4 linked regions of the Struthio camelus genome follow. The protein of the gene in region 3 interacts with the protein of the main gene of each other region in a biochemical or structural test. Links are inferred from orthologs where the notes say so. Each region holds a gene or a part of one and is shown on either strand. Other genes may lie near its edges. The genes, in order: GPSM1, RGS18, GNAI3 and RGS19.

Region 1 (7,965 bases), on a different chromosome or scaffold from region 3:
AGTGACCTGCAAGTAGCTGAGTGGAGATAAAGAACTGAAAGGTAAGTTTTTTGAAGGACACTGATGGTCCAAAGAAAGCACTTTAGAGAGGAAATTCTGTAAAAGGGAAGTGGAAGGTCTAGCTGGTAGCATTTGCTGTGTAGGCAGGACTTTATGGCAAAGACCCAAAGGCGGCAGTAGAGAGAGGTAGGACAGGAGGACCCAGTTCTTGAGATTTGATTTTGATTGGACTATTTGGGTTTTGAACAAAAAACCCCCTCTGAAAGAAGAAACTGAAATCTTGCCACTCTTGATAGCTGTGTTTGATGCTCTGTTGAAAGCTGGAAGCAGAACAAAGTAACATTCGAACAGAGCGCTGTGGAGCGCAGGGTAAAACATGACTTTACCCTGGGATCAGAGTGTACAGAGGCTGGAAGTCTTTGCAGCCAAGGACGCTGTATTCTCCAACTCAAAAGGAATTTCCTGTCTTGTGTTTGACGTCACCAATATGCCCACATGCATATTAAACTGCATATTTAAATCCAGCCACACTAAGCCCAGGATACATGGTGAGTAAGGAGACTGAGTTTCATTCCTGGATATGAAGGAGGCAACCTTCGTAAGTGCACGCAGTTCCGCAGAGCTAATAAACACACCAGCCCCATGGTGATTCCAAGTACGTTAGAGATATTTAACCATTGCCCTTAGCTGGAAGCAGGATCGGACAGGCACACAGTGTCTGATGCAGAAGATAATGTGGCTTTGTCACTCAGGTCTTGGTAATGTATGGTGATGAAGGCAGCACTGCACGAATAATTATGTTGCTGTCTCATGCCACTCCATATATCACTATGCCTGAATGTCAATAAATGGGAGAATCTGAAGCCAATAAATCATTCCTCACTCATTTAATCCCTTGTTACAGAAACACTGTTTGTTGCTTATGGCACATTTTGTCTCAGTTATAGTCTTAACTAGCTGTTTTGGGGACCTCTGATTTTTTTCAGGGTTATATCTGAGATATTCCCAAACAGATTCTCGTTGCTCTGGAAAATCTGATCTTTCCATATCTGTTCAAAAATTCACACTGACAGCTGGAAACCTAGTGACAGTTAAAGGGTAACAGATGTGCAGCCCTTCAGAAAGCTCCTCTGACAAGTCTCTCTGCAACGAGTGCCCAAAGCCTGCTGGTCTGCCTAGGGATAGTCTTAGCCAGACGAACTCTTCCCGAGCATCAGAACCAAAAAAACCAAACCAGGCAGAGTGCTTGAGCTGCACTATCTGAAGGGCTGAGCAAGCAGGGAACAGATTACGTTTCTCCTCTCCCCTCCGAGTTTGTGGCGTGCAGGTAGGGTATGTCGTTGTGCCTATAGCTTGTGCATTTTGGTGCACAGGGAACTGTTGCCCTGCCCTGCTCCTGCAGGAACACGCCTGCTCGTTGCATGCCGGCTCCAGCCCTAAGCAAAATCCACAAGAATCTTTGCATCAGCCTCCGCGGGTTTTGGGTCTGGTTCTAAGACACCTCAGAAAACCTTGTCATCTTGCAATTCTCCCCACCCGCCTACCCTGCCTCTTTCGTTTTGCAGTGCCTGGAGACAATGTGCAAGGAAATGTGCCGTTTTACCTGTCGATCATTGATTTAAATTGCCTAGTCCCAGGCCGGCGCTATAAATCCTTTTGTACAGCCGGAGAGCCCCGTTTCCTATAGGCCGTTTCCATGGAAACTCGGTGCTCTCCCACGTTCGGTTGCGCAGCGCAGGCAGCTCCGCTGTCCTTCGCTTCTGATTCCATTCACATATTCTCCTATTGATAGGGAAAAAAAAAGGCCATAAATAGCTATTTCCTGTCTTAACACTCTCTTCGCCAATAACTGGATGATATATATATATATATATATATATATATAAGCACATAAAGAGAACGCTCTGCCCTTTTCTAGACATCGTTTGGCACTCGGCATAAAATCTAGATATTCTGAAGGTCTAGTTCTTTCTTGACATGTTGTTTTTATAATTTCAGGGCCTCAGTAGGGAAACACAAGCTTAATATTTCCTTGTGTTTCTGGCTGAGATCACTGCAGAAGAGCATCTCTTCACTGCAGCAAATACCTCCCTAGACTTGGGGCAGCCGAGCAGCAGCCTGCTCTCTGCCTTTGGGCAGTTCTCTGCGCAGCGCCTAGTACAGTGCATTAACTGAGTATATGACATACACCATGGGGAAAGTATCTGCTTATTCCTAACAACGTGGGTATCTGCATGAGCTGTTAGGGTTAAATGAAAAAGAAGCAAGATCAGTGGTACCAGCAAAAACTCTGCAGCCAAGTTCGGATTCATCCTTAGGTTGTGCAGAGTTTAATACCTTTTGAACCATAGGATAAAATAATCCATTCCTTATGTTTGTATCTTAGTGCGTCTTTATGCAAAACAGCCTGGTCAGTCAAAAAGCACTGAGAAGAGAAGCGATATTTTCTCCCGTTGCTGATGAGGAACTGAGGCACAGGGAGACTAAAGAGCCAAATATAGAAGTGTAGCAGTATATGGGTAACAAACAGTCCCATGACATCCCAAAATCCATAGGAATCAAGAGCCTAAATACCCTGGTCTGTGGTGCAGGACTGAGTACTTGGCTGTCAGACTTCAGAACAGTACACTTTATTTTAATGAGCTGCCTCTTCCCACCATATGCTTGCTGCAAAATTCATGTCACATCCAGCTTGCGATCGAAGTCTAGATTTGTGCTTTGATTGTTTGCTAACTGGGAAGTGTTGTGAAAAGTGCTTCACAACATAAATTGCTTAGTTAGACACTGTAAAAAAAAACCAAACAAGTATTATTTTCTTTCCTTTTAGCTGGACATGTTTCCCCTCAATAAGGGAGATTGTAACACTTTCACAAAGCTAGGCGCACAGGGCCAACTAACAAGAAAAAGTAAGGAGTGTCCTACCTGTCTGCCAGAGCTGTAGGAACAGTAGAATTGCTGTTTACAAGACCCCTGGAATATATCTAGAGGGCACAAAGCTATATCTGCATGGCATGCAGCTGTTTCAAACCACACAGACTTAGGAGGAATTTCTTTTTTGGTTCACATATATATACACTTCCTGAATTTTGCTAGGCATTGTGGGTTATTGCTGTAAATATTTCCTAAGCCGTGACAGTGCACTATAGTAGGAACGGAAGACACTGGGAGGAGACCCTGCGGCCTCAACAGTGTGAAACCAACCTCCAGACACCAAACAACCTTCTACAGGATTGAGCAATTAGCAAGTCCACTTATCTTTGAATTGCAGAAACGCTAGAAAGTGACCTTGAAGCTCAGGATGGCAGAATGCAGCCGAGTTGGACGCTTTTTGTCCCACTTCATCATTGTGCATGTAAGCACACCACTAACGATCCAGCAGACTCACACGCTGCTCTCTTTTGGATAATGCCGTGCAGTGGGGTAAGCAGCATCTCTCTTCATCGGTTCTGAGCTGCAAGAATCCCGGCAAATCACTGAAAACCCTAAAATGGCTTTTGTAAGACGTCCACTGGGTATGCAATAGCCTGGGGTTGTCTAGTCTGCTAAAACCAGTAGGGGATAGTCTGAGTACCTCTGTAGAGAAAATTTGCTGTTTGAGGGCTGATGCAACATAAACGCCACGTGAACGAAAACGCTGGGCCTAATTCTGTCCTAGTCACAAGTGACAGGAGCTGTGGAGTCCGCAGGACACAATCATACATGACTGACTCATTTTGCTCATGCAGCTCTAATGTACAGATCTAAATGGATTTGCTCCTAGCTGCCTCAGCTCAAATTTAGCTCCCTGACTTGGGAGCTGCATGCGCTGCAGAAGCAGGATTTGGCCCAGTGATAGGTTTCACTTCCTCATCTCCCAGCAGATTTGTGGTCTAACACTCCAAGATGTGCAGCATAACATGCTGGCAATCTGTCACTCTCCTGGCTCTCGTCAGAGCTGACAGCTTGCTAAGGAAGATAGGTGCCAAAAGAGATGCCGGTCCGACTCGAGTGGCTTCAGAAGTGTCACCTGCGCACAATGGAGAGCACTGCCTGCTGCGGCACGTGCACTCCTGCTCCAGGCACTGCCTTGATCGACTGAACTCAGCAGACATGGGACTAATCCTAGACTTTCCTGTTACTCTTACAGTTTCCCATATGCTACATCTTCACTGAAAGTTGTCCTCCCACTGCTGAGGTTTCACATTTCTGCTTTGTCCTCTCTCTTCAGTACGCAAGCTTGCCTAGCACAACGGCTGCCTGTGAACCCGGGGGCTGTAATTAAGGCTCTTATCACTTAGGCACCCTAAATAGCTGTGGTTCCCTTTTGGGACAGACTCTGCATTCTTAGCACTGGAACCTCTAATCAGGCCAAAACGTTGGCTTGGACCGGCTTGAAATGGGAACTTTGCAACTCTGATCCACAGCTCGGGAACTCCTTGTTCGGTTAGAATTGAAAAGTTGAAGTAGTGCAGATATCTGAGCAGACTGCTGTAATATTTATTAGATTAGCAGCCTGAGTCTGCTGCTTCAAGCAAACTTCTCTAGAGACCGCAGGGATCCATGTATATGAAAGGATGTGGTATCAGTATCTTGCCTCACCATCTAAGTACTTCCCAGTAATAACAAAGACCTACAATACTGATATTGCTGCTTAAAGCACATCAGTAGCATTGTATAGCCTGAACAAATAACTGAGGACATAAAACAGAAACAAGAGTCAAATTCAATATCAACCAAAATGCTGGTGAAACAGTACATCAGTCAGCACTGCTTTGCAGTCATGTGGGACCTAGAAAGGCACACGCAGCCTCAGCTCAGGGTCTGTGCTGAAATTCACCCCATGAGGGCAGTAATTGATGGTCACTGTGGGAGGACAGCAAGAAATGTTTCTATTCCTATTTGCTTATCCTTATTCTATTCATGTGCCTTCAGTGAATCTCAGAGCAAACAGCAAGCATAGTCTTGGGAACTGCAGAACTTTGGCATATGTGAGAGAATATTTATGGGAAGCAAATTTAAAATTCATAAATGGAAGAATTTCACAGGAAGCCAATGCCTAAGGATCATCCAGTCAAGGAACAGAAAACAGCATCAAACGATCAGCCTAGTCTTGGCATTATACAGTGATTGTAGTAGATTCAGTTGTAATTGCAGATCCAAGGATTAGGGGTGAGTAACTTTGGGGGCAAAGAACTTCAGAGACCAACTCTTTCAAAGCAATGCCTGGACAGCATGCCCGCATGACCGAGCAAATTCACCAGCTGAGATGTGCCCTAAGGGTTGTTTAGCCATCTGCAGCCATAATCTTGGGAGGGTGTGGGACATGAGCTGGCAGGCCGCAGGCCAGGATGCCACTATCCGGTGAAGCCTGCCAGAAAGATGCTCTGTGAAAAGGCCAAGTATGAAATAGAAAAGGAGAGTGAACCACTGTGACAGCAAGGGCTTTCCTGCTGCTGCCCACTCGGGGCTGTCTTCGACCAAGTGGCAACTGGCAGCAGCTGAGGCCAGAGCGCCGCTGAAGGCACCGCCTCGTCTCCTGTCTGTGAGCTGAGCTTGCCCTCTGCTGTTTGCTGAATAAACTGTTCCTTCCCATTCATTTGAAATGCCAGGATGAGAACAGGAGAATAGGAGGACCTGAAGAACCACAAGGGCTACCCCAAATTTCAAATACTCAAACACTGTGACATTTAAAAAAAGGCACATCAACACAGGTGGAGTTGTCTTTATCTACCTTTTCTGAGCCTTCAGCATATACTAACTTCATATTCTCAAGCTTTTCTCTGCAGTCATAAAGACTAGAAACCCTATTTTTTTTTTTGATCATTTCCTCCTTTACTAAAAGCCAATATTCAGAATTAAAGCCCCTACTCTCCTGAACCTGGGGGCCTGATCAGGACAGCGCTGCTGACAGCAGGATCAAAGGCTGGATGAGCTTACAGAGAAAGGGGTGAGGAGAGGTGCCCTGGGTGAGATCTTGCGCCGGTCTGGTTTCTCCCCCTGCTCTAGCACCCCGTTCTCTCTCCATCCCAAACTGTGCAGCTTCTGTCCTCCCTCTCCTCTGTGGCCACCTGGCCCTGAGATGGGTCATTGCCAGGATGCCAGCTGCCCTGGAAGGGATGCAAGGGCTTGTCAAGAAAGCTTCTGGCACCTTGCCACGTGTTTGCAAGCTGAGATCAGCCTTCAGGCTCCTCTTGTTGCTGTTTGTTTTCTTCACACTTTCTAGCAGCCTCTCCCTGCACTATCGCTATTGCTATCGCTACCGCTACGGTTGCCCCGTACAGAGGGGCCCAAACAAAGGTGTGGTGATGCTTGATGGCCGGCTCCACTGGTTGGGCTCCCTGGCACAGCCTCCTCCTCCTTGGCGCACTCCTGGGCAGGGCAGGGGCTGACCTGGGACTCATCTCAGGTGAACCTTTACCGTGGCTGGAGCCAGGGACCGGAGCCTGTGGGTAGCTCAGCTCAGGGAAGGAGCAGAGACTGGGATATTCTGTGCTGAGTTCTTTCTCAGCTCGTCCTTTGGAAGAGGTTTCTGGGATTAATCTCTCTAGAAAGGCTCCAGCCCTCCCAGGGATCCTCTTTAAATGCTTCTTTAGGTGCTTTTGCCCAGTTCCTCAGTGAAGGGTTTGTTCCATCCATGGACGAGGCTACGAAAGGTAAGGTGTTAACCAGGCAGGAACGGGATATGGGAGGAAGCTGACTTTCTTGACTGTTTAGATGTGTAGTGATTGCCTAGAGCAGGACATTTCCCCCTGTGCCATAGCCCTGTCTCAACCCAGGACTCTCTCACAACACCGAGAAATTTAATGATAGCAGACAACATCTGCAAACGCCACAGAAATGTAAAGACAATCAGCAATTATGGATGAGGAAACAGTAGGTATAAGCAAGGCCAAGGCTGTTCTCAAAGGGCAGCAACGACTAGTCCTTGCTCATGGTTATTTCAGATATGGATATCAAGTAAGCAGATCTATAGCATGGCTGAAAAATGAGCAACAGTTTTGGCATCCGCAGAATCAATTCCACTAGCTGCTATGAGAATAATGAGCTTCCATTATCATCTGCATGGTCATAGTCAAAGACTTGGATATTTTTTATTTTAAACTAAGGATTTTTTGGTTATTTAAAGGCTTTAAGTGTTTAGTTTAACCTGGATTGTATGACTTCCAACACAATGAAGCAAATATTTTGAAGATTTAGAGTGCTGGACAGTTTTGTAACTCTTTGCAACAAACTCCCTCTTTCCACAGTGCTGGTGTGATTTTGCACTGCGATTAGCTAACTCAGGCTCAAATCTCAGGGAGAAAAGCACTGTCGTTTTACCTTGATGCAGTTAATGAAACTAAAGCCCAGGTGTACTGCTCACAGCTGGCCAAACAAGCAAAAACCTGTACCTTGTCGCTAAGAGGATTTTACAATCTGATAGCTGCTCTGATAGAAAAGTCATATCAGATAGAAAGATACACCAGAGCTGCACATAGGAACAAGAAAGAGGAGCTGCTGGCCTGAGTGTTGCCCTAGGACATGAGACATCTCCCCACACCCTTGCAGTCCTGGAGGAAGGAACAGATGAGTAACCATGTGAGGGTCACACACTTCAATGCAGATGTACCCCAGGTACCTCAGATAAACTCTCTCTTAATTATTTTACTTAGTCCCATAGACCAACTTGCAAGGAAAGTTCCGTTTCCGTATAAATCAAAGTTGGGGGCTGATCTAACCCACATAAATGGTTTGCCATATCAGTAGGAAAGGCTTCCTAAAAGAGAGATTCCATGTTACAAGATAATAAAGATAATAATAAAGACTTATGGCAACACCTGAACTCCCTGTTTCTTGCTGCTTTCTAGCAGAGAAAGCTGCTCTTTGAATCTTCCTCTGCCTGAAGTTATCCTCAAGACTCGTTTTCCGTTGAATGTATGCAATACACTCATACTAGGAGTTTCTCTATTCCTGATATTTTGCTTTGTTTCTTCTTTGCAAAAAACA
Region 2 (7,116 bases), on a different chromosome or scaffold from region 3:
TTTTTTTTCACTGAAAATAATCTAAATCTCTTTCTCCATATAAAGTATATCTATATATAGATCAACAAATAAGTACTAATTTCTCTTCTATACAGTAAGAACAGTACAATCCCTGTTAGTTGAGCACCTGGCCGAGAGTAATGTGGTTAAAAGTAGTTGACTGAGCAAGGAAGTGGTGATGTCTGGTAGAAGAAGGAAATTATTCATTTATTGCTGTTGTATCCACCTCCCTTGAAAGTGCCTTTTTGTAGGTGATTGGAATGTATTGATGACCATGTACTTTACATGAAATGCCTAAGTTTTATCAGCCAACCAAACAAAAAATCATCGAAAGTAGAACTCATGATTGCAAGGTTGTATATTTGAGTGAACTGTAAAACTTTTGAGTTAGTTAAGCTTTCTGTCAGCAGCGACACAAGAAAGAGGGGGAAAAAAGAAAATAATGAACCTACTCTGCCCCCCAGACTGTGGGGTGGAAAGTGGTCCAGAGCATGAGTGCTTCCTGTCATTTGAATGTGTGGAATATTTGGATGTATGAGCAACAAACATAGTGTAACTATCCAGATACACAGATACAAGTGTTTAGATACCAAATTGTTGGGTTTTTTCATGGGTTCCAAAAAATGGTGCTTAAGCCTTGGTATAATTTTTACTGTATGTCCACAGTTGGTAAGGGTTTGTAGAAATAGTTACTGAAGTCTTCTGGTCAGGGTGCAGGCATCTTGGCCTCAAACACAGTAACTACTGAAACAAGTTTGATAAGTTTAACAAGAAAGCAGACTGAAACTAGAAGCACTGAATTGTTCTGAAGTGATCTGTGAGGAAAAGAAATGAACTGCAAATTTTTTAGACCTTGAAGTTGTAGTACTTTAAGCATTCCTTCTTCTCAGTCAAGCCCTACAATGGCAGCGAAGCAGGTTGGTGAGATCCTGGCTCCCCAGTGAAGTCAGGAACAAAGCTCTTACTGAGTTCAACAAAACCAAGATTTCACATTACATCTTTATAGGAAATAGTATAATGTGGAAAATATTACACAATGTTTAAATGACCTTTTTGGAGGAGGGAGGAGGGGACAAGACAGTGTTCTATCAATTATTGCAGTCACTGAGGAACTATGCATTCAGGTTTTGATGTGCAGCTGGTGTTCGTACATCACAGGATTCTTTGGAAAATTTATTTTCCAAGGAACTGTATAAATTCTTTGTAAGAAGTAATTTGTCAGGCACGTACCCAGGTTAATTCTTGTTCAAATTTGTCAATTAACTAAGAAAAATGCTGTTGGTATGAATGAAGTTTATGTATATGCATGTGTGTGCATATGTACATACTTTTTTTTTATACAGATACAAATGTATTTGAATTCAGGAATATGAAGGAAAAGTCGTGGAAAAATTCTTAACAAGTACATACTTGCCTCCATACTAATTACTATAATCAAAGTAAGTGGTACACAAAGACTATAAGAAAATGAAAATTTGGATTTGAAGTAGCTTAGAAAAATGTGGATTACGCTATCCACATTTTTCTTCCATTTTGTTTCTTCCTTCCCTTCTTTATTTTAAAGAAAAAAATGTTTGCTGGGTCAGATCATACTTCATACCACAGAAAATCTCTCTGAAAACTATATAACGACTTGAGACTCACCTATTCATTGCTATGAATCTGAGTAGCAGTCTACACCTATTAGTGTAAAAAACACGAGTGATGAGTTAACTTGATGTATACTGTTTGTATGCTTGGATTAGGTTGCTAATTTATAAGTGAAATAGATCTTAAAAGCATTATTCTCTGCCAAGCCTGAATGCGCACAGGCAAATGCAGGAAATGTTTCGAGTCACACAACCGCTTCCTGAAAGGAATCTCCAGTCTTGCAGTGTTTATAACACTCACCTTGCTGCTTTTGTCAAGTGTGTAGGTTTGCCAAGATGATCCTCTTCATGGAATTCAGATTTCTGCAGGAGAAGGCTCAGCCTATTTCTCTTCTGCTTAGCTCTACAACAAAGTTCAGGTAGCTTTTAAAGCAACATGTTGAAAGATGTTGTTCAAACATTTCCTTTGACTAGTATCTCCCTGCCTCTGCATTACAGATCATTACTTTCTACATTCAGCTATAGTAATGTTGATGTTTTTTCGCCTACATATTAATGTTCATGTTAATGCATTTCTTCCTTATACCTTAGCATGAATTTACATATGAAGCACTGGCAAAGGGTAATGGAAATCTTTTCATTTATATTTTGCATTTATTTTCACTTATCTTTTTCATTTGTTTTAAAAATGGAGGTGGGTTAAATTTCATGTTAGTGAATAAGTGCAGTCAACATCTTCTATTTTTATCTTTTTGCAAAGAAAAAGGAAGTATTGCTTCCTGTCATTTCAAAATTTTAAAAAGAAACTTCTCCCGATCTTATTTAGGCTTCAGAAAGGGATTTCTCAGAATTTCCCACTTTCTTGTTAATTATTTGATTTGTTTCGTATTCCTATTCTTAATAAATATTCCCTTGATGAATTAATATTTTATGGATACAATTCCCAGACTTGCAGTTCATGAGTGTTCACATATATCAGTCCAAAATAAAAAGAACTATGCCCTAAATTCATACCCACCAGCTATGTTAGAAGAATCCCCTATGTACACGGACCACTCAAAGTGTAAGTATGACCTTAAAACTTACCCAGGCTTGCTTGCTTTATTCGTCTCTTCTTTATTTGCTGTTTTCGTGACTTTGTAATAGGATTTATCCTTGGAAGCAGAAATGTTTAGTTGGGGAAATAAAAGAAGTGGATTCTCCATCTTCCTCTAGTAAAGCTTCCTAGTTTCAGCAAATGGTTCTTCAGCTTCCTGACAGCAGTTGCATCTAGTGTAATTGGTGCATTCAGGAAGGTTGTCGCATGCTGTATCTGGCTTGATTGCTACTCAACCAGTGGTTGAAAAGTTTCCAGAGCAGGTAGTGGAAAGAAGGAGGTTCTCCACCTTCGCTGTCACTACAGCTGCACGTAGGCAGGACTTTAAGTAGAGTTTTGTTTTCACAGTCGTCATTCAGGGAAGTGAGATTACAACTTTGCAAAATGGCCGTTGATCATGCACATAAACATGGCTGTAAGCGGAGAACAGCTCCTGGTTGTGTGTGTGCGGAACTTGATGGTTTGCTAGACTTCGGATGACGCTATCATTTTCTCCCAAGCGCTTAGGGGAAGTGAATAGAGTGTCTCTAAAATGAGCTCTAAAAGAGAATCATTTTGTACAAATTAATGTGTAGCGTTGCCTTAAGCCCTTAGAATAACTTTTAATTGACTTTAAACTGCCCTCTGCAGTCTCTGTTGCTAAATGCTGGACATAGAAATCAGTTTTAGCTACAACATGCTAACTTGACACTCAGAGTCTGAGTCTCTCACAAGAGCCGGATGAAGCTGTGTTTGATCAGATATTTTGTAAATAGAGATTTTAATTTTTGCACTGTTTTTCAGAAGTGATGAGTACCTACTTCTGATTTTGAGTTTGTTCACGTATCAAGGAATGGTTTGCAATACTGAACAGTGTATTTATTCACTTTTTGTTCAACCCTAGGGCATTGTTGAGTACTGCAGTTTTGAAAGTGAGTTTCTTCTGTGAGTTCACATCCATCAGGCATTAGATAGGAAAGTCATTGATTGTGTATCAGCACCAAGGTCATTGTTTATTAACCCAGTTTGATTACTTAACAATCTGATCTAGAGCTGAACAAAGATGTTTGAGAATGAAAGGTGGAGAGAAGATATGACCGCAACATCTTACAATGACTTTGACTGGCTCTGCCCACTGGTAAGTTCTGATGAGAGTCCCACCAAGGCCTTTCCTCGTGCCTGGGGAGTTGAGGAGAGGAAGTACTAACAGACAGAAGAAAGAAAAAACTCTTCTAGGACTCTGAATTCCCGAAATGGAACAAAGAAAAAACCTTATTTTTTGTTTAAGAACGAGAAAAGAAAGAGAGAGCACTTAGTTACTACATCTGTAACAAATTTCAAAATCAGACTGAATAAGAAATATTCCGTTGCAAAACTGCCTTCTGTAGCCCCAAAATCTCTGAGAGACAGCGTTATACATTTCATTTTCAGTTTCAGAATACGCCTATAGATCATATCCTAGTAATTGTGAACTGGGTTTAACCACAGAGCTGTCTTTAATAATGTGTTCTATCTTTTACCAATAAGTAAACAAAATTAGAAAACATCTTTTTATTTGACTTTTCTGCAAGTCATATGAACTTTTGTTGGCCTATTGATGTGTATATAATACTATCTCTGTGTTGATCTGTCATAATTTTATTATCTGGTGATTTCAGTTCCTGAAAAATATTGTCAGTTGTGGCCTTAATACTTCATATAAGCTGATTTAAGAATGATTTGTAGCATGGCACTCCATTCATAACTGAATTACTTTCTGGTGGCCTTGCCACTATATCACGTGAGGCACAGATGGAAATGACCCATTATGTCACCTGTTCCAATGTCAAGCCTGTGATGGGTTCTTCTCAGCATATGCTGGAATGGCTTGTCCAATCCATTTTTAAATGACTGTAAAGCAATGGGTGTTGTGTCTTAAATGCCTGAAGTTTTGCTGTAATATTCTCTGATGATAATATCTATTCTGAATGCAGTAATGTAATGTGCATCTCTTGGGAATTTATTTGAAACTCTTGAAAGGAAATATAGAATAATTGCAAGCACTCTTTTTTTTTTTTTCCATTAGTAGAAAGCTAATATTAAATCCAGGCCCATGAAGCAGGCAAATAGCATCAGAGTAAGGCTGTATCTTGTCAATGACGGTGCTGGTGCTAAAAAGCATTTCTATTTTCCACCATAGGCCTCAGTCTGCTGAACTGTATTCACAGACCTCCTAGAAGGTTTTTAATGATTTAAAAACCCTTAAATCAAGGTCATCTATGCAAAGTCAAAGAAATATTGAGATAGTGATTTATTACTTGTAGAAAAGAATAAATACATTTTTCAAGAGCTTTCATACATCGATGAATAGAATGTGTGTTTTCAAAGCATTCTTTATTTCATTAGAAAGCAAGACTGAACAGATCATAAAGTACTAGAAGTTCTTTGCAGTGAGGTCCTGGTCTCTTCAGGCCTATTCGTCAGTTGTAAAGTTTCTGCACTGACTTCCATTGGTATTAGATAGGGATCTGTTACAGTTAATAGCAAAATCATGTTTGACTTCTCTAGGACCAGTAATTGCCCTCTGTGAAAGAAAAATCGACGTTAGCAATAAGGATGTTGCGTTATACTCTGCATAGGTTATAATAGTGCTTTGTTAAAGGTAAGCACTGTAGGATTGAGAATTTCAATTCAGTTGAACACAAGTGAAGCCTTGATTGAGTGATTCATTTCAGCACTAAGAATTAGAGTGCAATCAGGTCTCCTTTGCTAGCAATCCCTCTGCATCTTTCGCAAAATTATTTTTGTTGCTTGCTAGCAAATTGTTAACCTTTCCTCTTTTACACCTGTGCTCATGTCCTATCAATATCTAGGCTTTTCCACAATGGAGTTCTGCCACTGTTTTCATTCAAATCCGTTTTTACCCACTTTTACCCTAAGTTGTAGGGTTATGCTGTTTTATTTTCTGCTAAGGGAAGCACTATTCACCTTCGTGTCAAGAGAAAAACAACATAGCATGATCTCTTCATCGTCTTGTGAAGAATAAGCATGGAAAGAAACTTCTGAAGAGCATAAGATGAAAGTGAGTATTCCCATATTTTTCTTTTTCCTGCAATGGGAGCTGACATGTTTTGAAAGAATTTGGTTTGGAAAAATAGCTCTGCTGCTCTTCAGAAACATCTCAACAATTTATCAGTTTCATCAATATTTATGTTGTTTACCCATTACTGCAAACCATAATTGGACCTACCATTTCATAATGGTATAATCCAACATACAGTTGTTTTATTTATCTGCCAAAAAAACCCCATTTTTGCTTCATGGAAAAATACCAAGATGAAAATAATTTTATTATAAATCTCAAGTAGAGATGCTTGCAGTCTGCTAATTCCATGATTTTCTTTAGTGGTGCACTTAAGAGGTTCATCGTAATGGAGGAACTTGGCATGTGGGATACTTCAATGTTAGTGGAAGAGAAGCATTGTAATACCTCCACACTGTTCGTGTTACAGAACTTCCTTTGATGGCTACTGTTTAAAAGGAAGGAAACAAAATTGCTTGCTTCAGATATGCATCACTGAAAACAGCCAGTAATGCTTTTCGTTTAGGGTCCATGGGTCCTCTCAGCTAGGGATCTCAAAAGGGTTTTGTAAGACCTCCACAGTGAAAACTCATGCTTTGTATCTGTCATGTAGCCTTATGTCTTTTTGACACTCAGGTTCTGTTTCTGGACAAGCTAGTGAATGTTATTTTGGGCAAGCCTAGCTTATTTTGAGATTAAAAGGTTACATTATCACAATTCTGTTGATTTCAGTAGGACTCCTTAAATACCACATTTTAGTCCACCGTAAATAAGGATTTCGTTGCTTTTCTGTTTTCCTCTGGAAAGAAGTTCAATTGCCAATAGACTGGAATAAGCTATATTAATTCAAATGAAATACCAGTCTCTGACTAGGTATGTATGACATATCTAGAAATGAAATAGGCAGGTTATGGGTAAGCATGGAAAGGAAGACCTTTCCACTGCTTTATCCACTGGAGCACAGTAGCTCCGTTAGTGATGGTCTTGCAGGGATTTCTGTTTTTTCCGGGTTTAAGGTGCAGTGGGCTTCAAACGCTAGCTTTTTCTGAAATGGCGCTCTTGAACAAAGGCTTTAAGAGTTGTTGAACTCTTAAACTATTTACCTAAGTTTATCAGCTTTCATGATCTGTGTAAATCACTTTTGACCTATAGTTGCAGCTGATGTGGTCTGCTAAATTGCTTGTATTTCAAACAGAAGTTTTAACTGTCCCTTGAAAATTCCTTGGGAATCTTAAGCTTTTGCACAACTTTTGCTATGGAAAAACACTTACTTGTGTGCTAAACTAAATTCATTTATTCAGTCTTTTGAAAGGTCAAAATAAGAAAGTGAGTCTGCAAAGTTCTCAGCTGTATTCATTTCCTGCCTGCTCCATGGTCATATGGCCTGCGTC
Region 3 (8,169 bases):
TTCCAAAGAAAAAGTGCTTGCTCAAACCATGGAAAAACTCATGAACTTTTCCATCAGCTTCTTGATGTCTCACTGAAAGGACCCATGTTCCTACTGCAAATATTTTCTCCTAGCAATTAACTATCTTGCTTCACCCGCACATTAACAAGCTGCATATGAGGAGAGTACATTTTGGCACAATCCGGTATTCCCTCTAATCACTAGCAATTGTTACGCTAATTTTTAACACTAGAAAACCTTGACATTTTAAGTTATTGCAGGTTATGGCCAAGTGCAAACCTGATACGAGCGCACTATTTTTTAAATGAGGCTAGAGACAGATCAGAGAGAGAAGTGATCCAAAATACAGCTGCTACTTGTACTTTTGAAAGTCTCACCTTGTGTCTACATTAATATGCTTTGAAACCGATTATTGCATAATCTTTTGGGTACTCCTTCAACTCTGTCATTTGCTGAAGAGGAGGTCATGCAGTTTAGCTCCAAAATGCTTTTCAATACGGCCACAAAGAACATCAAGCCGCACCTCTTACAAGGATACAAGTAAAAACAAGTTTTAAAAAAGGATTCTTGAGATTCAGATCATTTGGAAAGCAGACTTGTTAGCCAACGTGTCCCAGTCTAACAGGAGAACTAAATGTCATTGTTCTAGTCTTCATGAACTCAATCTGTCTCCATCTGAAATGGAGAATGTCAAAGTAACAAAAAAACATATGGACATTAGAAGACGACGACCTACATGACATGACCAGATGGGTCCACCTACAACCCTAAATTTGCACTGCTTATTCCTTAGCTCATTTGAAGTTGCAAAGAAATGGAACAGGAGTCTGCCTATATCTAGCAGGCTTCATCAGAGAAGGGCATCTTTTCCTTCTCTGTACCCTACTTATCACTCAACAAGGGCTTCTAAACATGGTTACTAGAACATAGACCAAATATGGCAAGTTATTTGCAATCCTTAAATATTTATCCACTCAGGGAAGTATAATAAGAAGATAGTTCTCCACTAAACATTTTATTCCATTTAGATCCTCTCAAAGATTCATGAATGCCTTTTAGCTGGAAAAAATAAAAGTGCACAGAATTGACACTTCCTTTCTCAGCTGCTCCGTTTTCTGTACATATAGAGATTGCACTGAGGTAGCAGCAACAACAACACTTTTGCTTTTTTGCGCTCCTGCAAGCTCTGCAGAACAAGTTCAGCTATGGAAGAGTAAGGTGGATTCACATCTCATCTTTTGCGCAAAGTCAGATCCTATCACAGGATCTTTACTGTGGTAGCATGAGGCACAAAAAACGTAGCATGATTAGCAAAGACAGCTTACACAGAGCGGGCATTTCTGATCTGAGAAACAGGCGTCCAAAGAGCCATTTTCAGGGTAAAAGCTAACTACCAGATAAAAGGATTTAATTCCATTACCCTATCTGAAGCAAAAAGCTGAACGAGCATGCCTGCATGACTACAGACTGTATATTGTCAGTATTCAGCCACAAGCAAGAGGTTTTACAGTGATCTTTGTCACGCAAGCACAGGATACCCAAAGATGAAGGAACAACGAGACAGCGGAGCTAACGCTTTCTGCTCCCAGAGCCCAAGACCAAAGCCACCAGAGACAGACATCACCCAGAAGCAACCAGGAAGGAAGACTGGTAAGGTTCAGACCCACACTACAGACAGAAGTGTTACTTCATCAGGCAGAGTCTGGCTAGTAAAAAGCCCCACCCTGGGACAGCGTGCTAGAGAGCAGCGTGCTCCTGCCGTGGGTGAGAGTGGGACAGGCCATCTCCTCCCTCCTCAGAGCTGGGTGGCAATCCTAAGGGAGCGGGGCAGGCTATGGTCTTCCAGCAGCCCCACCAAGCAGGTAACAACCCCGGGAAAGGGATGGAGGACCAGGGTGGAGCGAGGGGTCAGGCCCATGCCCGAGGCTGGCAACCACACTAAGCGCCAAACCCTCCCCAGTGTCACAAAGGCAGAGCTGTCCCTCAAAACGGCCTTTTCCCAGACTCACCTCAGAGCCCTTCCCACAACTCCCTTAGCTTTCCTACAGGAACCCTACCTCATCCCAGCCTCTCCCCCTTTCAAACCCCTGAACTTCTTTGTCTTGCTAACACTTTCACCCCTCTTCCCTCAACATCCCTCTGGGTAATCCCTCACACATACACACCCCAACAGCTTCCTCGATCCCTGCTCACCCCACAGTCACCTCACCATCCCTCCAGACACCCCTCTCCCCACCACTCACCCTCTAGAGACCTTTTAGCCTCCCCCAAACCCCTTCTCAATCCCTTCCAGATAGTCCTGCCCTCACCACCTGGCTCCTCCCCTCAAAGACCCCCTAAAACCCTCTGGAGCCCTTGGAAAGCCCCAAATCCCCTTCCCAGGGACTCCTTCACCCTCTCCAAGCCCCGGAGTCCTCTCCCAAAGCCCTCAGCCGTCCCAACGCTTCTCCAGGCCTTCCCTCGAGCTCCCTTAGCCTTCTCAACCCCCTCCCGGACTCTGGAGGTCTCCCTCAAGCCTCCTCTCCTGAGACTCCTTAGCCCCTCAAGCCCCTTCCGAGCCCCCAGTCCCCCTCAAAACGCTCCCTAAAGCTCCCTTAAGCCCCCCCTTTAGAGGCTCCTTGGAACACCTCCCCCCCCCGGCACTACAGAGTCCCCCAAGCCCCCCCCGGAGCCCCTCAGTCCGTCTCAAGACCCCCCCCCAGCCCTCTCCCCTCCCCAGAGCCCCTTTACCCCCGCCCGGCCCCTCCTCACCGAGCAGCAGCAGCTTCACCTCCTTGGCCGCCTTCTCGCCGTCCTCCCGCAGGTTGCGGTCGATCATCTTGCTCCGCTCCACCGCCGCCTTGTCCTCGGCGCTCAGCGTGCAGCCCATGGCGGCGGAGGGCGGCCCGCCGCCGGGGAGCCGGAGCGGGGCAGACGGAGCCGAGCCGAGCCGGTGCGGGGCTGCGCCTTCTCGCTTCCCCTCAGCGCGGGCGGCTCCGTGAGGCGGCGCCGGATATCCGCCCCGCCGCGACCGTTACCCGCCCGCCAACCGCCCCGGGGCGGCGCCGCGCGGGCGCGGGCGCCCGCCGCGGGGCACGCCGGGAAATGCAGTCCGCCGCCGCGCGGGGCGCGGGGCACGCTGGGACTGGTAGTCCACGCGCTGCATGCGGGGAGTTGGAGGCTGCCCCGCCTCACTTCCGCCTCGGTGGAGCGGGGCGTGATGGGAGCCGGGGGAGGGTGGGCGCCTCACTTCCGCCTCGGTGGAGCGGGGCGTGATGGGAGCCGGGGGAGGGTGGGCGCCTCACTTCCGCCTCGGTGGAGCGGGGCGTGACGGGAGTTGTAGTCCTGAGGGAGGCCCTGCGGGAGGGGAGGGGGTTCTCTGCACGGCCCCATAGCTGCGCCAGCCCCACAGCTGCCCCGGCCCTGCCCAGGCCCAGCCCCACGGCCCGTGGCAGCCCCCTGCCCGGGGTGTTTCCCTCGCTCCCCCCCAGCTGCCCCACGCTCGAGGGCACCCGCCACCACGGGGGGCTGCTCCTGCCTCGACCCGGCCCAGCCCCACGGGGCGCTGGGGGGCAAGCGAGCCCGGGAGGCCCCAAGGGCGGACGCGGGGACCGAAAGCGAGGGGCGGCCCCCGGAGATCAGCCGGGGGACGGGCACCCACCACGGGGGCAGCTGGCCCCAGGGCAGGAGGGGAGCCCGGCCCGGGGGCACCCGGGAGGCGGCGGACGCCCCGTCCCCTGGCTGCGCCCGCCCGGGCAGGGTGCCGGGGCCGGACGGGGCCAGCAGGACTTTTGGGGGACCCCCTCCCGCCGACCCTGCTGAGACGCTCCCGGTCAGGACCGCCTGACCCCCTAAAACCGAGGCCCCGCCACGCTCCAAAACAGCTCCTCCCTGCTTTGTGACCCCGAAGCTGCCTCCCCGGTGGGGACCCGAGTGGGGGGGGGGGGGTGACACGTCCCGGCTCCGGCCCCCACGGCTGGGGAGCAAAGCACAACCCCGGCGAGGAGGGTGCGGGCGGCGGGGACAGCCCCGGCAGGTCCCCAGCCCCGCGGCGGCCGCGTCCCCAGGCGCCCCAGCCAGGCACGCACACCAGCTTTCCTCTTGCAGCCGTGTTTGACCCCCCCGGGGACGCTACAGCTCCCGTTTGGGAGAGGTGGCCGCCGGCACGTAGCCATCGCCGCCGCCGCCGCCGCCGCCCCGGCGCTGCTCCGGGAGCTCGGCCGCCTCCTCGGCGATCTGCCCCGGGATGCGGAAGTCGACGGGGGGTTGGTCCCGCTTGGGGCTGGGGGTGGCGGGCCGGGGCCGGGGCTCGGCGGGGCAGCCCGTGCCCTGGAGGAACTGCAGGAAGTTCTCCTCGATGGAGCCCTCGCGGCTGGGCAGCCGCAGGTCGTCCTCCGGCGGCTGCTTGAAGAAGCAGGTGAGGAGCCGGCCGAGCTCGCCCCGGATCTGCCGGTTGAGGCACCCGTAGAAGAAAGGGTTGGAGGTAAAGCAGAAGTAGCCGAGCCAAGTGACCACGGTCTCGGCCTGCCGCCCCGCCGGCGGCTGGGGGCTCAGGGCCGTGTAGAGGTGGAAGGAGAAGTAGGGCAGCCAGCAGAAGAGGAACTGGCCCCCCACGGCCAGCAGGATGGCGGCCGCCTTGCCGCCGCCGAACGTCCTCTGCGGCGTGGTGCGCGGCGCCCCTGAGCTGGTCACCATGGTGGAGCGGCTGCTGAGCGACTCCGAGCGCCGCCGCGGCGTCTCCATCCAGGTGGGCAGGGGGCCGTGGTGCATGGCGGCCACCCGCGCCACCTTGAACATGCTGCAGTAGACCACGACGATGATGAGGAGGGGCAGGAGGAAGTAGAAGGCGGCGAAGAAGACCACGAAGAACTTGCAGTAAGGCCCGCGGCTCCACTGCAGCGAGCACCCGCGGCCGGCGGGGGCCGGCGGCCGGTCCGGCGAGAGCCAGCCCAGCACGGGGACCAGGGAGGTGGCCACCGCCTTGAGCCAGACGCCCACCAGCACGCAGGCCACCAGCCCCACCGTCATCTTCACCTCGTAGCGCATGGGGTGCACCACGTAGTAGTAGCGCTCCACGTTGATGGTGGAGATGGAGAGGATGCACATGCTGATGAAGCAGACGCTGAGGAACAGGTAGACGCGGCACATGGCCTCGCCAAAAACGGGGCTGTCGAAGACGGCCGAGCCGGAGAGCATCTCCAGGGGCATGAGGGTGAGGGCGGCCAGGAAGTCCACCAGGCAGAGGTGGAAGACGAAGACGAACTTGCGCAGCGCCGGCGTCTTCACGATGACGGTCATGACGGCCGCGTTGCCCACGATGGCCGTCAGGTCGATGAGCAGCATGAAGAAGAGCCCCACCGACTTGGAAGCCACGTCCTTGGGCTTGGCGTCGGCCGTGCCGTTGGCGGGCATGGGGCCCGGCGAGGGCTGGAGCGGCCGCGCCGGCCTAGAGCCGTTCCAGGCCCACGGCGCAGGCAGGGAGGGCTCCATGGTGTCCCGCGGTGGCGCCGGCCCTCACCGGCCCATCGCCCATCCTACGGGCCCCCCGCGAGGGGCCGCAGAGCGTCGCCCCCGGCGCTCACATCCTCGCCGGCCGGACCCCGGCCCAGCCCTACGCCGGCCGGCGGCCCCGGGTGCTGCTGGCCATCGCCCGGCCCCGCTCCGCCGGGCGCGGGACGGGTGCTGCGGAGGCGGCGGCGCTCAGCGCACCCAAGGGTTCCCCCCGGGCGGGCTCATCTCCCGGCTGCTCTGCGCCGGGCAGAGCGGAGCACCTGCGGGGGAAGGCAGAGAGGCGGCCGGATCAGAGGCCCCCGCGCGTCGGCGTCTCGGCTCAGCCCCCGACGGCGGCCGCTGGCGCCCCGGGGCGTGCCTGGGTCCCCCCCGGCGGGGAGAGCCGCCGGGCCCCACGCGGGGCTGCCCTGGGCTGAGAAAACTCCTTTCTCAACAAAATGTCTCATTTCCTTAGGAAACGAGCAACCCCGGGGCTTAAAACCCCAAACTCCGATGTTTCAGCCCAAAACAGCCTCACCTGACACCTGGAGCCCGGGGACTGCCGATGGCGCGGCTGGGACCAGCCTGGGACAGCGCGGTCCCAGTCCCTCCCTGGGCCCGGACGCCTGGGCTCACCCCTTATCCCCCCACCCCGAACACGTCCCGGGATGGGTGCCGTGCACCCCTCACCCCAAATCCCTGGGGGGGGGGGTGGCAGCCAGCGCGGCGGGGTGCCCGGCGATGGGGGGGGTGGGCACCCGCTGCAATGGGGGTGTCACCCTCCCTTCCCCACCCAAGGGTGCTACCCCAGCGCGGGGCCGGGGTGTGGGGGCAGCACGGGGAGCCCCCGGGGCCCTGCCCCGTTTTGGCAGGCCGCGGCCGGTCCCGCCGATACCCGGTGGCCCCCGGGCACCGGCATCCCCCCGGGGGCGGCCGGGGCAGGCTCGTCGGGGTGGGTGGGGGGGCACCGGGCACCCTCCCACCCTCTCCCCCGAGCCCCTATGCACCATTCCCCCTGCATCCCCCCCCCCTCCCGGTGCCGGGGCTGCGGCCTTCCTCCCTCCTCCCTCCCCCCCCCCACCGCAGCAGGCCCGGGGCGACGGTGAGGGGCGAGCGGGCGGCCCCGCGCCGCTTCCGCCCCGGGGGGCGCCCCGTCGCCCGCCGCAGCCCCCGCCGGTAGCGGCGGCGGGGCGGGCACCTACCCTGGGGGGGGGGCTCCATGGGGGTCGGCGGGCCCCGGCGGCCGGCTCGGCGCCCCGGTGCCGGGCGGGGATGCTCGGGGCTGGGCCGGGGCCGGGGCCCGCAGCCGCCGCAGCCGGCGATGAGCGGAGCCGGCAGCTCCCGCACCAGCCGCGCTGCTGGGTCCTAAACGCCTCCCGCCGGCGGCCCGGCCCGGCCCCGGGGGGCAAAGCGCGGCCCCGGGCCGGGCCGGCGTGCTGGGGGGGGGGGGCGGAGCGGGGGTCGGCGCCCGGGGCCGCCCCACCACCCCGCCGCTGGCCCCGTCCGCAGAGACGGAGCCCGGCACGTCACCGACCCCCCGCTTTGCCCCCGGGACGCCCCTCGCAAACCGCCTCGGCCCTCGTGTCGGGCCTCAGTTTCCCCAGCCCGCGCCCCGGCTGGCAGCGAGCTGCCTGGGGGCTGCGGCGGGTGTTGAGGCCCCCCCGAGCGGGTGCTGGGACCCGGGGAACCGGCAGAGGGAACGTGCCCGGGCAGCGCAAGGGGGCCGGGGCGAGGGGAGGGTGACGGGCGAGGGGAGCGCCCAGCCGGCGGCGGGGAGCGGGGGCAGCGCGGCCCGCGCGGGGCGCGGAGCCGGCCGCAGGGGGCTGCCCGAGGCGAACGGGGCCGGGAGGGCTGTGCCTGGCGGGTGGCGGGGGCACCCAGCTCTGCCCGGACCCAGCCCAGCGTCCCTTCCCTCTCCCCCCAGTGCACCAACGGAGCAACGGGGACCAGGGCAGAGCATCCCCTGCCATGCACCGTGCCTCAGTTTCCCTACGTGCCCAACTGTTTGCTTGCAAGGGGGTTTCCATCACTTCTCAAGCCCCCCCAAAGCCTGCGCAGGCTGCAGACTTCCTCCTGGCAGTGCCCTGGGCGCAGGCCTGGCTCTGCGGGGGCCCAGGCTCGAGCGCCAGCCGAGCGGGTCCCCAGCCGAGCGGGCCGGCGGCGCGGAGGGGTGGCGAGCCGGCCGGCCGGCGAGGCGGGCGATGCATATTCATGCTGCAGGCCCCGTGCGTCACGTGCCCTATTGCTAGGTTACGAGGACCCAAAAATAAATCCTTCCGAACGAGATTAGAAACGCAGGGACCTCGGATGAACCGGGTCCGGCGCACCGGGGAGGGGAGCCGCTGCCGGCAGCTGCCCAGCACGTGCCGCTCGGGTCCCCGGCCTGGCACGAGGCGCTCGGGGCGTGCGGGAATGCCGGCAGCCTCCGGACCTCCTCCAGCCCCGCATCCCCCCTCGCCTGCCCTGGGCCCGTCTCCTGCGCCCTGTGGTCCCCCGGTGCCAAACACGGCCATGGTGAAACACAGGCATTGAGTCCTCTCCGAGCAGCCGGGACCCTCTTGTCCTGCTAACCTTGGTGCACCCCCTAACCCAGGTGCACACAGCCGGGGTGCGTACCCTAATCTGCATTCATACCCTAACCCGGGTGCAAACCCTAGCCTCGATGCACCCCTTAATCCGTGTGCAAACCGCAACCCGGGT
Region 4 (7,381 bases), on a different chromosome or scaffold from region 3:
AGTTATTTTTTCTTCCCTCAAATTAAAAGGTAGCTGTTAAATAAAGTATATAAACAACTGCCTTTAGATCAGTTCTCAGCAGATCTCTTGCAATGGAAATGTCTACAGAGATATGCAGAGATGAATAAGGAACTGAGTAATAGGAAGTGTCAGTGAGCGCCGCGGGCTCCGGGTAACCCGGAAGCGTATGTCACGGCAGCCGAGAGCCCGGCGATGCGGCCCGGACACGGCGCCCGCCCCCGCGGTTCACGCAGCGTCGCGGCCCGCTCTGCAACGGGCCGGGCGCCGCGAGCGGCCCCGCCGCCGGGCGCTCGCCCAGGGACGGGGCATTCGGGGGAAGAAGGTGGCCCAAAAGTACAAAGAGAGCCGGAAGGGGAAGGCAGGGCGCAGGGTACGCTTCCCTTGGCAAACCCCCAAGGGGGGCTAAGGAACTGAGCGCGGCAAAGATTTTACCTCCTCTTGAGCAAATTTTCCAAAATAAATTTATCCAGAGGATAAAAGCTTGGGGGGAAAAAAAGAGTAAAAGCCATGGCAGTCTGAGCCCGCTCTCTGCAGAGACCAAGCAGCTCTGGGATGGAGGGGTCAAAAGCAAAAGCAGGCCGGGCGCGCGACGACGCGCGAGGAGCCCAGTGGGAACAACGCGCTGCCTCCCAAGGCTGTTTTGCCATGTGTACCTGTTGATCACTCGATGCCACAGACACCCACGAGGACGAGCAGGGAGCATGGAGCTTGCCCAGACCCTTTGCATGAGCCCTGTTGAAACTCAAGAGGCTGTAGCCCAAGCCCAGTCTAAAAGTGAGACTACGACCGCAGATAAGCACAGATAGGAGAGGATGCACTTAGCGCAGGGAGAGGGTGGAGATGGGCTGCTCCTGCACCTAGGACAGACTCAGCATTAATCACTTTGCCAAGGTATTTTTCTCCCTTACCCTCTCCGGGTTCGAGTAGCATTATCTGATTACCTGCCTTCAGTTCCTATTTTTTCTTAAATAACAACATCAAAATGGACACACAGACCCTGATTGAAACATATTCGAGTCACTAAATCCCTGCTTCTCCACTATAATCTTATGAGGTGGAGTTTGTTTAATTGCTGAAGAACACGACTGTATTTTGATTAGCATGCGGCTTGAGTCATTTGTGGGGAAGGGCTGACGCGGAGGAGCTAAAATCCTTGTAGGGAAATCTGATGTGGCGTTGTCCCCTGGGAAAGATATTCTGCAATACGTGCCCACTGGGGCGACCCGTTTTCCCAAAGCAAACGACACCCACCAGGACAGCAAAAACAACAGGCTCTGCTCGTCCAGCGTGACACGGGACGAGCGTCTCTACCGACGGCGATGGTGGAGACGCATCCAGAGGGGAGCGAACTCCCCTCGCAGCGGGGAAATCCCTCCCACTCACTTAACACTTTTTGTTTAGTTTCTTAAATAAGGCCACGGACCGGTGCCAGAAGAGCCTCATGGAAGCGGTGGGGACAGGGAGCTTCCCGAGGGAACCTCGCCATGCCCAGAGCCGTAGCGCGAGCCGCACGTGCAACACCTCCGGCGGCCCGCGCCTGGCCCTCCGCACCCCTCGGCCGCGGGGACGCGGCGCCAAGCGGCGGCACGGCACCCCGGGATGCCGCCCACGGGCCGCGCTCGTGCCGGGTGACAGGAAGCCGTCACGCTGCCTTCCAGCGGGACGGCGGGTGGCGGGGGGAGCCGTGGCCGGGACACGTCCGACTGAGGTCCCCTCTGCCCAACCCTCCAGCCTTGCCATTGCTAGAGGCCAGGTGACCTGCTGGGCGTCCCCCAACAAAGAGACCGGACCCCCCCCGCCACCGCCACCGCCTGACCTCAGCCAACCTCCCCGAGGGGCCGGCGCTCGCCGCTACCCCACCGGCGAGGTCAGGGCTCCCTGCAGCTACCGCGCTCTGCTGCCGGGGACGACACCCGTCTACACATGGCGAGACGGGAAGCCACAGAGGGGCCCAGGCGTCCTGCCTGGCCGAGGCGGCGTGGGGCTGGCTGCTCCAGGGCTGCCCTCGCACACACCTGTGGGAGCAGGAGGGCCAGGGCAGCCCTGGGCTGGCCGAGGCCTCGGCGGACACCCCCTCCTGGCACGCTTCCCCCCCCCCACCCTCCCCCGGGGCCGGGTAAGCCCCGCTGCAGGCAGCCCTGCGCCTGGAGGGTGCCCCCCTCCCTCTTCCTCCTTCCTCCTCCTCCTCCTCGCAGGGGCCCTGCCCTCTCGCCGGGGTGATGCAGCGCGCCGCGGGGGGGGGGGGGGGGGTCCCTCGCCCTGCCCGCCGGTCCCCGCGGAGCCATCGCGGTTCCCCCCCCCCCCCCCCCCCCGCCCAGCGCGGCGGCAGCCCCCCTGGCACACGGGGCTGGTGACAGGCAGCAGCCGGGCACGGATAGACAGACGGACGGACGGACGGACACACACACAGCCCGAGCTGCCCATCAACCCCGGCGCTCGCTGCGCGCCGCGGGGGGAGCATGCAAGCATGCATGCATGCGGAGGGGCGCAAGCAAAGCGGGAGCATGCGGTGCGGGGGGGGGGGGGGAAGCGGGGATCTGCCCGCAGCCCGCCGCGGGGAGGCAGCGGCGAGGGCGAGCGAGGGGCGGCGGGCCCGGCCCCCGGCCGCGGCATCCCGCGGGCAGCGCCGGCCGGGCCGCGGGGTACTCACGGGCCGGGCATCCGCCGCCGCCGCCGCGCAGCGCCCTCCGCCGCCGCCGCCCGCTCCCCGCGGCCGCCGCCTCTGCGCTGCCGCCGGGCTCGGCACCGCAGGGAGAGGCAGAGGCAGCGGGCGCGGAGCGGCGCGGAGCGGCGCGGCTGCACTGCGCACGCGTCCCCCGGCCCCTGCGATTGACTTCCTAAAGCAATTGCAGCTTTGGCACTTCCTCACGTCAAAACACACACACACACACCGCCCCGCACCAGCACCCAGTGCACGCACCCGCTACCAGCACCTGCACCGGCGCCCAGTAGCAGCACCCGCATCCAGGACATGCCCCCAGCATCAGCACCCGGTACTGGCGCCATGCACAGCACCCGGTGCCAGCACTCGGCACCAGCACCCTGCACCAGCATCCAGCTCCTTGCACCCAGCATCTACCGCAACACCCTCCACCAGCACCCTCCACCCCACCAGCGCCCTGCACCAGCACCCAGCCTCCCCCAGGCACCGTGCTTCCTGCCCTCTACGCCAGCACTGGGAGGGAACCATTCCCGCCCCAACACACTCCCGCCGGAGCGGGGACGTCACCTGCCCCCAGTGTGCAGGCACTGGGCAAAGGCTCAGCCAAGGGAAGGGGCTGGAGGGACCCTGCTCCTCTGCCTTGCCCCCTCCGGGCCCTTGCCTGTCCCCAGCACATGTGGCAAGGAACAACTGGGAGAGAAGCTGCTTGAAGGATTGCTTTCCCTGACCCAAGAGTCCCTGGTGAGGAGTGGCTTTCCCTAAATCAGTAGTTTCTCTGCCTTTTTTTTTTTTTTTTTAAGGGGGATTATGTGTCTCTAAAAATAAAGGGTGATAAAACTTTGGGAGAGAAAGGAGACATAAAAATTTCATGATCTTGCCAGCCAGGGAAATTATCCCACTTTATTATTCAAAACCTCATTAAAACCCATTTCCCTGGAAAAGACAATGATCAAACCACCCTCTACTTCAGTCCCTGAGACATGCGCTCTGTGACGTGGGGAAAGCAGTTAAAAGAGGCCTTTACTTGTGACTGCTCAGCTGAAAACCCAAACCTGACCACCCTCCCCTCCCATGTGAGTAACAGACCTCCTGGCTTACCCCAGGTCTCTGCCCCTACGCACGGCTAGATTATGTTCCAGACCCTGCGCCTCCCCGCATTTCAACCTGCTGTTTTCAATAGTCTAGATTTTCCTCTTTTTACCCATTCAGCTCGCTCCAGCAGGAGCTAGAGAACATTTGGTCATATAGGACCTGGTTCTGCGCCAGGATCTCGGTGGATGAAGCAGGGGCCTTCCTCAGGTCCCTCCACTATCAGCTTTCCCAACTCTTAGAGCAACTTCAGTGAAATGCTGCGGATGTCAGGCTGTCCCCTTCCCCCACAACGCAACCAGGATGCCAGCCCTCACCTTTGCTTTAGCGTGTAATTTAGCTGAAAGCTCACAAATGTCTGTAAAGGCTCCCACATCCTCAAGCACTGTTTTATGTTCCATGTTTTGGGTTTTTTATAAATCCCCATGAACACTTGGTTGGTGATTCTCTGTGGCTTTTGAGTTACCATCCCTTCAGATACTAAAAAGACCATGAATGTTTCATTGAAAAAAAGTCACCTTTTAAAAAAGGAAGTGTGGATGGGGAGAAAATCTGCAGCCGCTCGCAAATTGCCTGCAAAGTAGTGTTATCAACAAATGGCCAAACTAGACTGCAATCTTCCGCTCACAATGTCACAGCTTGTCCTTAATACCTCCTTTTTAAACACACACACACACACACACACACACACACACACACACACACACACACAACCTGGAGAAGAAAATGCATCTTTTCTAGAAATTGCAAATGCTCCGTTAAATAAGCAGGAACCCTGCTTTAATTCAGCTTTGAGTTTGGAAAGCTGCTTTTCTCCCAGGCCCACCGTCCACCCTAAAGAAGTGGATGAAAACTTTCGGTGCGTGGATGTGCTGGCCCCCACTCCAAGGGCTGGCAGTAACTTCTGGGAAAGCCAGCCACCCCCCCCCCCCAGCACTTTGAAAGGGAACCTAGGAAGGAAGGGGCAGTCTTACTTGAGCTGTTTCTGTCATAAGTGGTAATTGCTCATGGCAGAGGAGCTGAGATGTTTCATGACTCAGGTGGAGATTACTTGCATGCAATCAGCTCTTGCAGGGTCCTGTAGCCTCTCTGTTACTTATCACCGACTTTGCACAAACGTGGCAAAAACTTCCCCAACCCTTTCCACCCCAACCAGCTCCCTCTTCTGCAAGCTCTGCAATCTCCGTCCCACAGAAAGGCAAGAGCGTGTTTCTAACTCCCCGAGAGGGCGGGCGATGCCGCCCCCGGGGGGCAGCGGCTCTCGCCGGGGCTGGCGGTGCGCGGCGCTGGGGGAGCGGGGCGGCGCGGAGGTCGGGCCGGCTCCGGGCTCCCGGCTCCCGGCTCCGGGCTCCCGGCGCCCGGTGCAGTAGCGGGGCCAGCCCGCAGGTGCCGCCCGACTCCGCCGGGAGCGCGGCGGGCGCCCCGCAGCCCGGCCCGGCCCCTGCCCCCCGCCGCCTGCTCGCCTTTTCCGCTCGGTTGGCGATGGCTCGGCATCAGCCCACCGAAACCCACTGCCCGGCGGGGAGAAGGAAAAATTTCCGGACTCTCTCGGAGAGACAATCGAGACTGCAGTTTTGCTGGATGTTGGAGAGCAGCTGTAGCTTCTTAGCCCAGCACTGGTATTTGGACAGTGGGGACATGATCCTAAGATCTGCTAATGTTGCACCCTTTTGGTGCCCTGTAGCCCTTTCTGAAGGGAAAGTGTGTGCCCTGACAGGGTACAGCAGTGCCTTCAATGGACTCCTCCTGCCCAGCGGTGCTGATGGAGATCCCCCTAGGACGGTGCTGAGTAAGCTGAGGTGCTCTCTGCTTGGAGAGTATGGGTAGCAGTGTGCTTTAACAAGTGTTACACAAAGAAAGCACTTGCAAAGCTTGTTTTCCTTCTCAAGAAGAAGGACTCCAATAACTCCAGGCAGGATGCTTGGGAGCAGGAAGCATCCTTCAGTGGACATCTGAGGAGAGCCAGCCTGTGTCAGGACTGAGATACAGCGTGGCTCCCTATGGCTCTGCACACCACCACCTGAGAGAGAAAGCCTGTCAACGGTTGCTCAATAGCCATCTCCAAAGGCGCTCTGAAACTATCAGCCCTGCTGGAGCAGCCGAGTGGGCTGAGCTCTCCCAGTCTGTTTCCAGCCCGTGCACTCTCCCGGAGACTGGCAGGTAATGGGACAGGATACCTGGCGTCTAGTCAGGGACGCATTGCTTCAGAAGGGCCTCTTGCTCTCACCAGTTACGTGGGACTGCTAAGACTCCTCAGCAAACAGAGGGAAATTCGGCTGGAGCGACCGAAAAAATGAATCTGGGCCTGGAGCTCTGAGGTACAGCAGCACCTGCGCTAAGACGGCCAATGCGGGAGTTACAAGAGCAGCGCTGCTGAGCTGCCACTCTGCAGGAAGTGCTTTTCGGAGCCGAGACCGTAGAGGTCATGCTCATCCTCTCTCTGCTGTCTGCTGAGGGCAGCCCGCGGACGCCCTGCGGCACGCCTCGCAGGCCACGTTGGGCTTCTGCGCGGCCACGCAGGCTGCCCGAGGTGGTGCGGTGGCAGCAGGCAGGACAGCTGCCCCGGAGACCGCTCCTTCTCCAGGGCAGAAATCCACCCTGGGTGTCTTTGCAGAATACCTGGTTTGGGCTGTGCAGTTTGATCCCTGCCAATTTATTCCCTTTTGAGAAATAGTTGGACATCCTTTATAACCGTTTTGCTTTTTTAAGGCCCTGGAGCTTCCCAGTAGATATCAGAGCCACACAGAGGTTACTAAGTGCCCCGTTTCACACGCAGACCCCTAGCTCATGTGCTAACTCCACGGCTTCCTGTGATTGCTCGCACACTGACTGAAAAGAAGAATCCTTCTAGGTAGGGTCGACGTTTATTTTCACTCTGCGCGTTCCTCTCGGCTTTTTCTCCCCAATAACAGGAACCAACTACATATTGGCTCCATGAGCTCTGCAGCCACTTCAAAGCAGCTCTGAGTTCCACTTTCTACTTCCTTTCATTAAAGGCACAGACGAAGGGATCTGATCAGTCCACCTCCTTCCCACGGGGGCAGTAAATAAGCCGACCTGAAGTGCAAAGAGCATCTCCCCTGTGCTCAAACTCCCAGATAAAGCAATAGCTTGGAGTTCTGCAGTGCGGCTCTCCATAGGTTGTAGAGCAAAGTTTAAAAAAGGGTTTTTGCATCACCAGGGGCAATGCGACTATAAATTCTATCATGTTTAGTGGAAAGAGGGTTCGTTATTTTGATTTCCTAATATAACAGGGCTTATGCAATCATCTCGTGTATCAGCGTACTCACATTCTTCTAGATTCCACTCTCTGAAAACTTCATAACCCTTTGGCCAGTTTTAGTCAAAACTGACAGAAGTACAGAGTTCTCCAATGTAATTCAGGTCCTACAATTACAAACAGCTGGGTGGAGGAGAATGACCCTGCAAAAGCTGCAACTGTGAGAGAGACTAACATAGTCTGTCATGCCTTATTAGACATCAGAGAATCCACATGGACCTGACACTTGATTGATGTCTAAACCGTGGGAAAAACTTCAGACAGAGTTTGTGCCCTCTCAGGCACCCAGGTCAGTCCCCCAAGAGACAAGAGCCTGTTGAAAACCAGGC

Evidence for each region.
Region 1: the proteins of GNAI3 (region 3) and GPSM1 form a complex in vitro, tested with the Homo sapiens proteins (2 studies listed by BioGRID). The link is inferred for Struthio camelus from reciprocal best matches to the Homo sapiens genes GNAI3 and GPSM1.
Region 2: the proteins of GNAI3 (region 3) and RGS18 form a complex in vitro, tested with the Homo sapiens proteins (2 studies listed by BioGRID). The link is inferred for Struthio camelus from reciprocal best matches to the Homo sapiens genes GNAI3 and RGS18.
Region 4: the proteins of GNAI3 (region 3) and RGS19 form a complex in vitro, tested with the Homo sapiens proteins (3 studies listed by BioGRID). The link is inferred for Struthio camelus from reciprocal best matches to the Homo sapiens genes GNAI3 and RGS19.

Annotation. Positions count from the first base shown.
Region 1 is NC_090961.1:3,519,873-3,527,837, reverse strand, and holds the start of GPSM1 (G-protein-signaling modulator 1), read right to left. Parts: upstream 3,061-7,965; 5' UTR 2,923-3,060; intron 2,686-2,922; exon of another isoform or gene 2,575-2,685; intron 1,783-2,574; 5' UTR 1,615-1,782; coding exon 1,604-1,614; intron 1-1,603. UniProt on the Homo sapiens protein: Guanine nucleotide dissociation inhibitor (GDI) which functions as a receptor-independent activator of heterotrimeric G-protein signaling.
Region 2 is NC_090949.1:10,191,831-10,198,946, reverse strand, and holds the start of RGS18 (regulator of G-protein signaling 18), read right to left. Parts: upstream 3,135-7,116; 5' UTR 2,795-3,134; coding exon 2,676-2,794; intron 1,993-2,675; coding exon 1,891-1,992; intron 1-1,890. UniProt on the Homo sapiens protein: Inhibits signal transduction by increasing the GTPase activity of G protein alpha subunits thereby driving them into their inactive GDP-bound form. Binds to G(i) alpha-1, G(i) alpha-2, G(i) alpha-3 and G(q) alpha.
Region 3 is NC_090965.1:4,178,681-4,186,849, reverse strand, and holds the start of GNAI3 (guanine nucleotide-binding protein G(i) subunit alpha-3), read right to left. Parts: upstream 3,102-8,169; 5' UTR 2,870-3,101; coding exon 2,752-2,869; intron 1-2,751. Other genes in the region: GPR61 (G-protein coupled receptor 61), read right to left, coding at 4,111-5,469. UniProt on the Homo sapiens protein: Heterotrimeric guanine nucleotide-binding proteins (G proteins) function as transducers downstream of G protein-coupled receptors (GPCRs) in numerous signaling cascades.
Region 4 is NC_090959.1:17,475,559-17,482,939, reverse strand, and holds the start of RGS19 (regulator of G-protein signaling 19), read right to left. Parts: upstream 3,010-7,381; 5' UTR 2,995-3,009; coding exon 2,955-2,994; intron 1-2,954. UniProt on the Homo sapiens protein: Inhibits signal transduction by increasing the GTPase activity of G protein alpha subunits thereby driving them into their inactive GDP-bound form. Binds to G-alpha subfamily 1 members, with the order G(i)a3 > G(i)a1 > G(o)a >> G(z)a/G(i)a2.